Xenopus tropicalis: one gene and its partners. The protein of the gene in region 3 interacts with the protein of the main gene of each other region in a biochemical or structural test. Links are inferred from orthologs where the notes say so. Each region holds a gene or a part of one and is shown on either strand. Other genes may lie near its edges.

Region 1 (3,655 bases), on a different chromosome or scaffold from region 3:
TTCATTATTGGTTGGAGCGGGGTCAATTAGATGGGAGGACACCCAGTTAGAAGGGGTTCAGTAGTCAAGTCAAGACATGATAAGTGTATGAATAAGATCTGTCATTATCTCCTGGCTCATAGTTCAGCTTAGGTGCTGCTTATATTCAGATGAAATGCTACTGGCTTGGTACCATGGAGCTCGTTATTGCCATTGATCTATTTAATTGAGATACAGGTATCGGATCACTTATCCGGAAACCCATTATCCAGAAAGTTCCGAATAACAGAAAGGTCATCTCCCATAGGCTCCATTTTAGTCAAATAATTAACATTTTTAAAAATGATTCCCTTTTTCTCTGTAATAATAAAACAGTACCTGTACTTGATCCCAACTAAGATATAATTACCCCTTATTGGGGCAGAACAGCCCTATTGGGTTTATTTAATGGTTAAATGATTCCCTTTTTCTCTGTAATAATAAAACAGTACCTTGTACTTGATCCCAACTAAGATATAATTACCCCTTATTGGGGGCAGAACAGCCCTATTGGGTTTATTTAATGGTTAAATGATTCCCTTTTTCTCTGTAATAATAAAACAGTACCTTGTACTTGATCCCATCTTAGATATAATTAATCCTTATTGGAGCAAAACAATCCTGTTGGTTTTAATTCGTTTCATTAATTTTTTTAGCAAACTTAAGGTAGGAGATCTGAATTACGGAAAGATCCCTTATCTGGAAAACCCCAGGTCCCGACTATTCTGGATAACGGGTCACACACCTGTATTAGGTATTCACAAGAGATCTCACTGAAACAGCTCTAAAGTGGTTAAAAATGTAGTGTATTTGTTTGTGGCCCAGGGCAGTGCAAGTCTGACTAGTGACCTTACAGCTTTACAGTTGGTTATAGAGCTGAATTCGGTTTGGAGCAATGACCTTAAAGGCATATCATAGGATGCTTATTTCCTATTTATTTGAGCTAGAAGGGGGGAGAGGTAAACCTGCCTGCCTGCTTAGGAAGATAGCATAGAGAGAGTTGTTGCCCTTTACTATGCTGTGGTCCTTGCTAGGCAGGTCTGTCTAAGCCATTGGTATGATATTGGGTGACCAAATTCAGCAAAAGATGCTCTCATTTGGCCAGTTTCAGGCTCCATTCTTATAATGCCCCATGGCATATTATGATATTGGTGATTCCTGTACTGTGTGGTCATAGTTGTTTTTGAGCTACTGCTCCCAGCATTCTCCCAGCATTGTCCAATGGATCAGCACTAAAGGAAACAGGCTAAAGGAAAGCAGTGGCAGAGGTTGGGAATTTATGCCATTAAATTAGTATTGGATTGTGTTACATTGTGATATTAAAGGGCTTGCCCTTCTGATGGCTAAATTATTGCTGCGTTGTCCCTGTGCTGATTTCATCTTCTTATTCTCTGCAGTCAATGCTGTTGCTGGCATACCTCATACGGAATGGATCGGAGCGGGTCGTCACAAGCGCCAGGGAGCACATTTATGACTTGCGATCCTTGGAAAATTACCACTTTGTAGGTGAGTATTAGAGAGAGAGAAAAAAATAGATGCGTGTATTGGGGGGGGGGCTTAACAAGGAAAGGGGAGCAAATTAAAACAGTTGTTGGACTTGTCACTCACCCGAACGTCTTCACAGACTGCAGAGACCTAATTGGCCCCGAGCTGCTTCAGGCTGTGAAGAACAGATTCCAAGATATGGGGCCCTAGAGTATTAATTAGCAAGGAAAAAAACTTTTGCCGAGAGGAAAAAACCTAATAACAACACAAGCAGCACAACATGACTGGCCTAGGTTTATATTAAAATATGCACCAGAGGATGGTCCCCTGTGGCATTAGAAAGAAAAGGGAGTGCTTTAATTATACTCTGGGAAAAAGTCGGTCCTCCAGTACAGATGCATTGCTGTTTGAAGCTGGGTCTATTCTCTTTCACTATTCCCCCACCCAAGCCTTAACCAAATAATATTTACAGTGCAGAGGAAAGTTGGGGTGTGTTTTGAATGCATTAAAATTTATATTTAAAAAAAAAAAAAAAAAAAAAGAGCTGGTAAAGGGGTAACTGCCAGAATCTTGCTCTGCTCGCGTGGAGTAGCTGTACCGCGCAGAGGCAGGTTATCAGTAATTAGGAGTTGGTGGAGCGTTGTGTGTTGTCTGCCCAGTAAAATGTGTTAATTTGCTTGAAATAAGCTCTTTGAGCATGATTTAACATATTCTTTAGCAGGGGAAGGAGCAGAGTTGCATTAATGAGCACTGGTGTCATTAATCCTCTTCTTTATCCACCCCATGTCCCCACATCTTTACTTTAAAACCCTTTATTTGGCAAGCACACTAACAGTATGGCATGTAAAATGTGTCCATATAAAAGGGTTGGTTGACTCTAGACTTCTAGAGTGCTTGCCTACTGTCAAACTTTATGCCTGAGTAGCATGAGTAGAGTTGATATTACAGCAACTCAATAAAACATGACAGCTCCTTTTTCAGATTTAATGCCCATTTTTAACATTACAATTTACATATAAAAGGCAAACCAGACTTTGGTTAAGCTGGCCATACGTGAACCCCTCCAGTCTAAGCCAGCAGCTCATTGGCTTGTGTATGGGGGCCTCTGAAAGGCTTGTCCAAATTGATCCTATTGGGCATGTTTGAAAATCTCACTTGATAATGAAGTGGTTAATAATGGATGAATGAATAATGGATAATAATTGGACCCCAGTGGGTCTCTCTAGGCCTGTATTATGATCAGATTAACTGCAGGGCCAAACAAGTGGGTTAGCCTCTTTTGGCCCACCACATGGGTGATGAGATTGGGCAAAGAGTGCAAAGTCTTTGATATATAGTCTTTGATTGCCATAAACTGGAAGATCTTTGCTTGTCAGTATTGATCATGCAGGGCCATATATGGAATAATAAATATTGACTGTTTTATCCTGAAACACAAAACGTGTTTGGGCCAAATACAGATCTGATGGTATTTTTTCTCACCCCCGCACCAGATGAAAATGGGAAAGACCAAGGCATTAACATTCGGCAGAAGGTAAAGGAAATGGTTGAGTTCATCCAGGACGATGACCGTCTCAGAGAGGAGAGGAAGAAAGCCAAGAAAAACAAAGACAAATACATTGGAGTGTCTTCAGAAAGTGCCGGGGGGTTCAGATACAGTGAGTACCGTGTGTGTTCTGCACGTAGCGATGAACGGTGGGCTCTTTGTGATTATAGCATGGCATTCATGGGCATACTGCAAGGAAAGATCTCCTCTTACGCACAAGGACCAGTAAGCATGCATACACAGGAAAGATTTTTTTTATTTTTCTTTGCAGTGGCTGATGGTCTTTAACATGAAAGGCAAGAGGGTTAACCCACATAGGTGGTAATGAAATATGTATGTACATGGAATATACCTACTGAAGGTCAAACTGGTTCACCTCCACCCTTTAGTATTCCTAGTGTGTAGGTTCTTGAAAAGGAACACACAGTGGGCCTTTACAGACATCATTATTTTTGGCTGTCACTGTACCACTTCATCTAAAGCCTATACCTCTACATGCATAAATCTGGCATTGCCTCTGTCAGGAATGTCCTGCTGGGTGCCTGCATTCCTATGCGGCCTTTAATCCCACTGTGTTAAATGGAAATACACAGACATCTTTTCTTT
Region 2 (3,655 bases), on a different chromosome or scaffold from region 3:
TCCCATTGGATAGGGGACTGGCATTGGCTCATTGATGCGGTCCTCGCTCCAATGGCTTCTATTCCCATTTTTGTTATCTAGTTGCTTGGCCCTTGAGAGAACTCCAATATCACCCACCTTAGGTGGGGAAAAGATCTGCTCATCTGGTGACTTTGCCAAACATGCAAATCTTACTGTGTATGGCCAGCTTTAGACCTTGACTGTAGAGAGCCAAAAATATTTTTTAAATATTTGTCAAACTTCGTAGGTCATATTTTGTCACACTAAGGGCAAGGGCACACAGAGCGTAGCTCTTGTAGATTGTAAGCTCTTTTGGGCAGGGCCCTCTTCACCTCTTGTATCAGTTATTGATTGCTTTATATGTTACTCTGTATGTCCAATGTATGTAACCCACTTATTGTACAGCGCTGCGGAATATGTTGGCGCTTTATAAATAAATGTTAATGTAATGTAATGCTTCTATAATCCCTGTGTTTTTCCATCAGTAAATACAGTGAACAGGGCACTCCTTTAGAAAAATGCTAAATTTATTTAAAAACCCATATAACAAAACCCAATTTATAAAAACCGAAACACATGGAGGCACTCAGATGGCCCACCACAGCGAGCACCCTCATCCACGTCGTGTTTTACAGGCGGACCTACACTTCACTCGAGTTTTAAAGGTAAACCTACGCTCTGCATGTGCCTGCACTGAGGTGGTTAGTGTCGTTTCAATGCAGACACATGGAGCAGCGTAGGGAAGTGGATCTGCTTCTCTCAGCCTGATGGAAAAATGCAGGGCTGAGAGAAGCAGATATACGTTCCGTATGCCCTTGCCCTAAGTACAAGGTCACACAAGGTGGATTGTCAGTCTCTATTAAAAATACTTCTAGTTGTGCCAGCATTGATTTCACCCCCAGGTGCAGGCACACGCAGCCGATATCCTTCAACAAGCAGCAAGTCTTGCGTTTGTCAGCGGATATCAGCTTTGTGTGCACTCGTGGGTGCAAATAGCCTCAATATAATAAATATATATATATATATATATATATACACAGTCCAGTCATCGGCACTCACCAAACGCTGTAGTAGAAGGCCGGGTGCGCGAGAGTAATCATATTTGCTCCATAGAAAGCACTCACGGCATGTACGGTATAAACAAAAAACGTTATTGGATTTCCAAATCTACGCGGATCGTCGTCAGGATAATGACAGGAAGTGAGGAGTGTCTGCTTTTCAAATAAATAGAGAGTAGGCAGAGCAGGGCATCCATATTTTTGTTCTTCTTTTTTTTCATTTCTCCTAAGATTTATTTTATGTATTTTACCCCTTTTTTCTAATTTCTCCTGAGCTTTTATGTCTTTGTTTCCCCCTCCCATGCTGTTTTTCTGTCCCTCATTCTGTTTTGGTCTCCTAGCCCACTTAGGCCTGAAAAACATCTCTGAAATGCACTGTTGTGTAAACAAGTGTTTTCAATAGAGGTTTCTGTGACATTTGCATTTCAAAGCACAAAGACAGCAGGAATCTAAGTCATAAAACAGGGCAGGACTCCTCAGAATAGACGGTAACATCAAATTCTCTGTGCAGCAGAAAAAATAACACTTTTTTTTTTTGTTAAAAAAATAAATACTTAATTAGGTACTTCAGACAGTTACTCTGAACCTGCAGTTATTGTCTATATAGGGTGAATCTTAGAGCTACCCATCGATTATAATCTCTTTTAGGTAGGACCCCTCTCTACTTCTTGTACAGGTTATTTTTGTATTTAATCTGTAGGTTCATGGTATACATCCACTTATTTTATGGCACTGCGGAATATGTTGGCGCTTTATAACTTATTGTTAATAATATCAGTGGAAAATAGTGATCCCTGTGGCTAACAGTGAGGGGGGTTTTAAGAGACAGTAAGATACCCATAACCTTTGCTTGTCATAGATTTTTTTTTTTTATTATTAATTAATAAATGGTCATTTTATTCCTGATACTTCTGATTTTTGAAAATTCCTCTCTGTAACAATAAACCAGTGCCTTTTCATAATCCCAGCTAAGATATAATTAATCCTTATTGGAGGCAAAACATTCCTATTGGGTTTATTTTGGTTAATAGGTCCCATACCTATATATGTATTCTAATATATACATAAATGTTCGTGTGTATACTAAATCTAAAGAGTGGTTTATTTTCGAAAGCTTGTGCAATACTGCAAATAAAATTACAATAAATGTTTGGATCATAGTCTACCATTCATTGACACCATTTGTGTCTGTCTGTTGTGTATTAATGTTAGAAAGAGAAATATTGCATTTCAAGAAAGGATACACTTACATTGATTAATTTATTTCCTGGGTTCTACATAGGTCTATGAGTGATTTAAATAACACAGGGACAATCAGAAAGTACTAGCTGTTTTTTGGTGGTTATTACTTTCACAACTCTTGGGAAAAATGAACTGTGCAGTGTGTACAAACACATGAAAAATTTAATACTTGTTGTCCGTTCTTTTGTCTTTTTTGAATTTTGGTGACACTGGTATGTTTTGGTACAGGTGGGATGCAACAGCAACCTCAAGGGTTTCCGCTGATATCAGTGATGCAACCAAGCATGCAGAATATGATGGGAATCGGATATGCGGCCCAGATTCCACATGGGACCATGGCTTTGCAGGTACTATTCAATAATAGCTTTGTGTTTATTATTTAGTATTTATGAAGTTACCTAATAAATAGTAGATAAGGTTGAAAACGGGCACATGTCCATCAAGTTCTGCCTGCTTTCCAAGTAAATCGGAAAACCCTCAAGCAGAGCAGTCAACTTCTAACTATGTTTGGCCAAGGGATATGCGGCGCCATCGCACTGCTGCAAATTTTTTCAATCCTGAAGTAACATTGCACGCATGTGCACAACCACTGCCAAAGCCACAGAATCTGCACTGTGCATGCGCACATTGCTCTGCTGATGTCACTCTTAACACAGGGAATTAAAAATAGGTCTTGCTGCTTGGGGTGCATTGAGAGAGTTTAATGAGACTTGTAAATGAACAGGAAAGAACCAGTAGAGTAGAAAAATAAGTACCGTATATACTCGAGTATAAGCCGAGTTTTTCAGCACTAAAAATGTGCTGAAAAATTAACCCTCGGCTTATACTCGCGTATGTGCTGTTGGTCGGTGTGCTGGCTGTTGTGACTCGCACCACCTTCCCCCGTGGCCGGACGTGGGTGCGCGTTCGTTTGGGTGCAGGTGCGCGCACGCATGTAAGGAGGGCCACCCGTATCTCACCTGACAAGCTCCAGCAGCCCATTTCCCAGGCTGTGATATCGATCAGGTTGTAGGTGTGTTGGAGGGGGCAGAGAGAGAGAATGACAGAGAGGGGTGCGACTGTGCCTGCTTCCCCCCTACCGGGCCACACTCACTCGCACAGCTGGGCAGCCTGCCGGAGCCGCAGGGTCCTAACGCCGTAATCTGACTCCCTCTCTCTGCGCTGAAAATACTGCCCCTTGCTGCATGTTAACATGCGTTCCATTCTAGAGCTGGAAGCAGAGTGATTGTGGTGAGTAGGACGTTTAACCCTTTATGCTGCAGGATTGGTGAATTAAGGGATCACACCCCCCCCCCCCCCCCATTGCAGAGCCGGTGCTAAAATGCGCACAGGGTCAACGGGACGATTTTGGGCAT
Region 3 (3,655 bases):
TGGCACTGTGTGGAATAGTGCATGTTTTTTCACTGATGTGATCAAAAGGTTTTTAACCACTGCCAGCACCACCCTAGTGGTTAGTAATAATAAGTAATAAATAATCAAGGGTGGATTTCCCCTACTAATGTGAAGTTTTGTATGTTGTAGACCAGCTATGTTAAAATATAAGAAAAGGTGAAGAGCATGCAAAAAGTTCCTGGGGGTGTCCATTATGTGCTGTCATTGACTGTTTGTAACTCCTATGTGGACTGGCAACCGACAAGGCTCTGTTTTGCAGTATTCAAGTTTTTCATGCAACTAAATCCTGCCTTCAAGCCAGGAATTAAAAAAATGAGCACCTACATGGAGGGAACTGACAGCAACATCAAAGGGGAGCAACATGTTGCTCGCGAGCCACTGGTTGAGGTTCACTGTTACAAACTTAAGGTGGCCATACACCGGAAGATTTGCTTGTTTAGTGAGGCCGCCAAGCGAGCAGATCGTCTCCCGATATGCCCACCTAAAGGTTGGCAATTTTAGGCTAATTTGATTGTTTGGCCCTACTGACATTTGCCAATGCAAATGGGGTTGTTTGAGTTCCCTGCAGTATATTAATACCTTACTCTTGGTGTGATGATATTTGTTGATTGACCACAACTGTACAAGTGTAGTCCAAACTCCTTAGAAATAGTTTTAAAGCTTTTTCCAGCCTTGACAGCATCAATAACTGTTTTTCTGAGGTCTTAAGAAATCTCTGTTTAAGCCTTAACACACAGCCACAAACCCAGATTTCTCTAGATAAGGCAGAGCATCACATGATAATTATCCCGATTATCATGCCATTGTTTAAAACTCAAATATCCCCTTCAAAGGAACTGAGAATTCTAGAGGGCCACATACTTTGCCAAACACACTTATGTAACTTTGGATCATTATATGCATTGTGTTTGGCTGATTGGTTTAACTTGGTTCTCTATACATAGTTTTAGGACTTGCATGAGACAGATCATCTTATAACTCACAATATATGCAGAAAAAATGAAAATCCAAAAGGGTTCACAAACTATTGAGGTCCACTGTATATTTCTGTTGTGGCCACCTGTTATTGATCAGGTCTTTTATTCATTCAATGGACTCCCCATCATTTAAATGCTGCTTAGAGATCCTCTTCCACCAGTGGTAAAACAACACTCTACGAGGCCCCCTTCGGCATATCTTTGGAGGGCTCCCCCTGTTCCCCAGGCCTCCCTGCGACTGCTTCCTCTATAGTTATGCCGCTGTCTTCCACTTTGTCTGTCTTTTCATTCACTTTTGTTTACCATCTGCCTTAGTTTCATTCTCAATGTGTTTTTTTTCATTGGAGGTCATCAGCCTCTCTTAAACATTTTTGAGAAATGGTAAATGTAAATGTGAAGAATGAAAAAAAAAATTAGAAATGTAGGAAAGACCGTCCAGGGCTGTTCCAAGTGGATCCTCAAAGGCTTGATTGTTAAGGCCTTATTAGTTGCTCTAAAAAGTGTCATTGTTTAACATCATAATTTTAAAGTGGGACTAAACACTCCTAAACATATTCATGTAAAACTGCCCAGAGAGCTTTTCAGAGCACTTTAACAATTTACTTTTTTTTTTCTTCACTTTTCGTTATATATTAGCAGTTTTCTACTGTCCAATCAAAGACACAATAGATATATTCTCAATAAGCCTAGCCGTGCTTTCACATAACCATTTCAAGCACTTTTCTTTTTCTTTCTTAAACAAAGCCATAGGTCTCTGATTTTTAATCCTCCCATCCAACTTGCTCTGTTGCTGTGCTGTTGCTTGGCAGCCTATGTTAGTCTGTACTTGAGTGACTCTCTTGCATACTTTCTGCAACCCCTCTGACCTTTATTACAATTCTTTCACAGTAGCTCAATCACTAGGGGGCTTGTGCTTTAGTATTAGTGGAATGGTAATTTATTCTGGCATTTTGGGACATGTATAGTTGTGCCAAAATAAGGAAAATCTGTTTTGTCACGATTAACTACCGAATTAAAAACTGACACTTTGAGTGGTTCTTTAGATATTTCTGGGTAGCTTAAAATTACCTTTTGTTTGCAAAACATCTTAAAATATCAGACCTTTTGAATGTGACAGCTATCTAAAATATTTTCACATCAGAGCACCCACATGCATGCTCTGCAGATCAGTGTCCCTAATTGCTGCTTCCTGTCTTTTATTCTGTTTGCTTGGGATCCTGCTGAATGGTAGAATGAAAAGGTAAGACTTCTTCTTTTGTATTTCACTGTTGTTTCTGCCCTAGATAGTTGATCTATTGAATGAATGAAATCACTCTCCACAAGTGTAACTTATTTATCAGTCTTTTTAGATATTTTGTAAAGCTAAAAACTAGCCTCCTTTACCACCCCTGTCCCAAATTAAAAAATAACAGAACAAAAACTTGATTTACTGAGGGATCCATTGTAAATCTTGTCCTTCCGTGGCTTATACTCCTAAACCATAACATTGTGCCTGTCGTACTGAATCGTATTACCTTGATCTCCATACACACAACCCAATCTGAAGTTTACAACTAATGCCTACTTTGTAGCTTTAGTCACTCTGTCTGTTGTGGTCAGATTTGTGTTCTGGTGGAAATATAATGTGTATTTGCTTTGAGAGCAGACTGATCCACATTGATATAAATTTTAGCTTTTTGAGATAAAGTTTTTTGAGTCTATCAAACCTTTTTTTTCCCCCTCCAGCTTGTCCCCCAGTTAGTTCGTATTCTTAAAAACCTTATCATGTCCGGGTATTCTCCAGAACATGATGTGTCTGGGATCAGTGACCCCTTTTTGCAGGTGAGTGTGGGTATGTGTTTAAGCTCAGTGACGGTATGAAGCATTTTTATTAAATTCTAAGAGGGACCTTGGTTACCTAATAACTGTTTTTTTTTTTTGTTTGTTTGTTTGCTTGTTTTTTGGACTGTTTAAGGTTCGGATATTGCGGCTTCTCAGGATATTAGGCAGAAATGATGATGATTCAAGTGAAGCCATGAATGATATTTTGGCACAGGTAAGCAAGCAAATGCAGCTCGGTCGATAATAAACTTCTGTATTTTTGCCTGGTATAGCAGTTGATTAAAAGATTTGTTTTTGACTGAATGGACTTACAAAAGTGTAGTATTGGTTTGTTGATTTGTGGATTTTGTGTGGAACGAGAGTAATAGTGCTGTGTGTTCTAGATGACGCACTTCATCAGTTATATAGTTATTTTCCTCTTGTGCTATTGTTATTTTTTAGGTTGCAACCAACACAGAGACTAGTAAAAATGTCGGCAATGCCATTTTATATGAGACTGTCTTAACAATCATGGACATAAAGTCAGAGAGTGGTCTACGGGTATGTGTCACATCAGATCTGATCTTTTGCTTAAAATCACTTTTCTCCCCCCTTGCATAATAACTGCTCCTGCAAATAGACCACCATTGCCTCTTCTTTCTGCATTAACCTGTGCAAATCCCCTTTTCTAGCTGTTCTAAACCTTTAGGCTAATAGTACACAGGTCGTCTTTATCTGCTAGAGTTTATATGCCAGTTGAGAAATAACAATCTGCTGCCGTCTGTTCCCTGTATGTGAGTCCTCTGACATGTTTGGGATTAACTTTTCACACACAGACAGCAGAAACTGCATACTTC

The links.
Region 1: the proteins of ap1g1 (region 3) and clint1 form a complex in vitro, tested with the Homo sapiens proteins (2 studies listed by BioGRID). The link is inferred for Xenopus tropicalis from reciprocal best matches to the Homo sapiens genes AP1G1 and CLINT1.
Region 2: the proteins of ap1g1 (region 3) and synrg form a complex in vitro, tested with the Homo sapiens proteins (2 studies listed by BioGRID). The link is inferred for Xenopus tropicalis from reciprocal best matches to the Homo sapiens genes AP1G1 and SYNRG.

The regions. Positions count from the first base shown.
Region 1 is NC_030679.2:13,970,940-13,974,594, forward strand, and holds part of clint1 (clathrin interactor 1), read left to right. Parts: intron 1-1,415; coding exon 1,416-1,524; intron 1,525-2,996; coding exon 2,997-3,161; intron 3,162-3,655. UniProt on the Homo sapiens protein: Binds to membranes enriched in phosphatidylinositol 4,5-bisphosphate (PtdIns(4,5)P2). May have a role in transport via clathrin-coated vesicles from the trans-Golgi network to endosomes. Stimulates clathrin assembly.
Region 2 is NC_030678.2:74,825,636-74,829,290, forward strand, and holds part of synrg (synergin gamma), read left to right. Parts: intron 1-2,528; coding exon 2,529-2,647; intron 2,648-3,655. UniProt on the Homo sapiens protein: Plays a role in endocytosis and/or membrane trafficking at the trans-Golgi network (TGN). May act by linking the adapter protein complex AP-1 to other proteins. Component of clathrin-coated vesicles.
Region 3 is NC_030680.2:59,348,138-59,351,792, forward strand, and holds part of ap1g1 (AP-1 complex subunit gamma-1), read left to right. Parts: intron 1-2,229; coding exon 2,230-2,238; intron 2,239-2,723; coding exon 2,724-2,819; intron 2,820-2,952; coding exon 2,953-3,033; intron 3,034-3,260; coding exon 3,261-3,359; intron 3,360-3,655. UniProt on the Homo sapiens protein: Subunit of clathrin-associated adaptor protein complex 1 that plays a role in protein sorting in the late-Golgi/trans-Golgi network (TGN) and/or endosomes.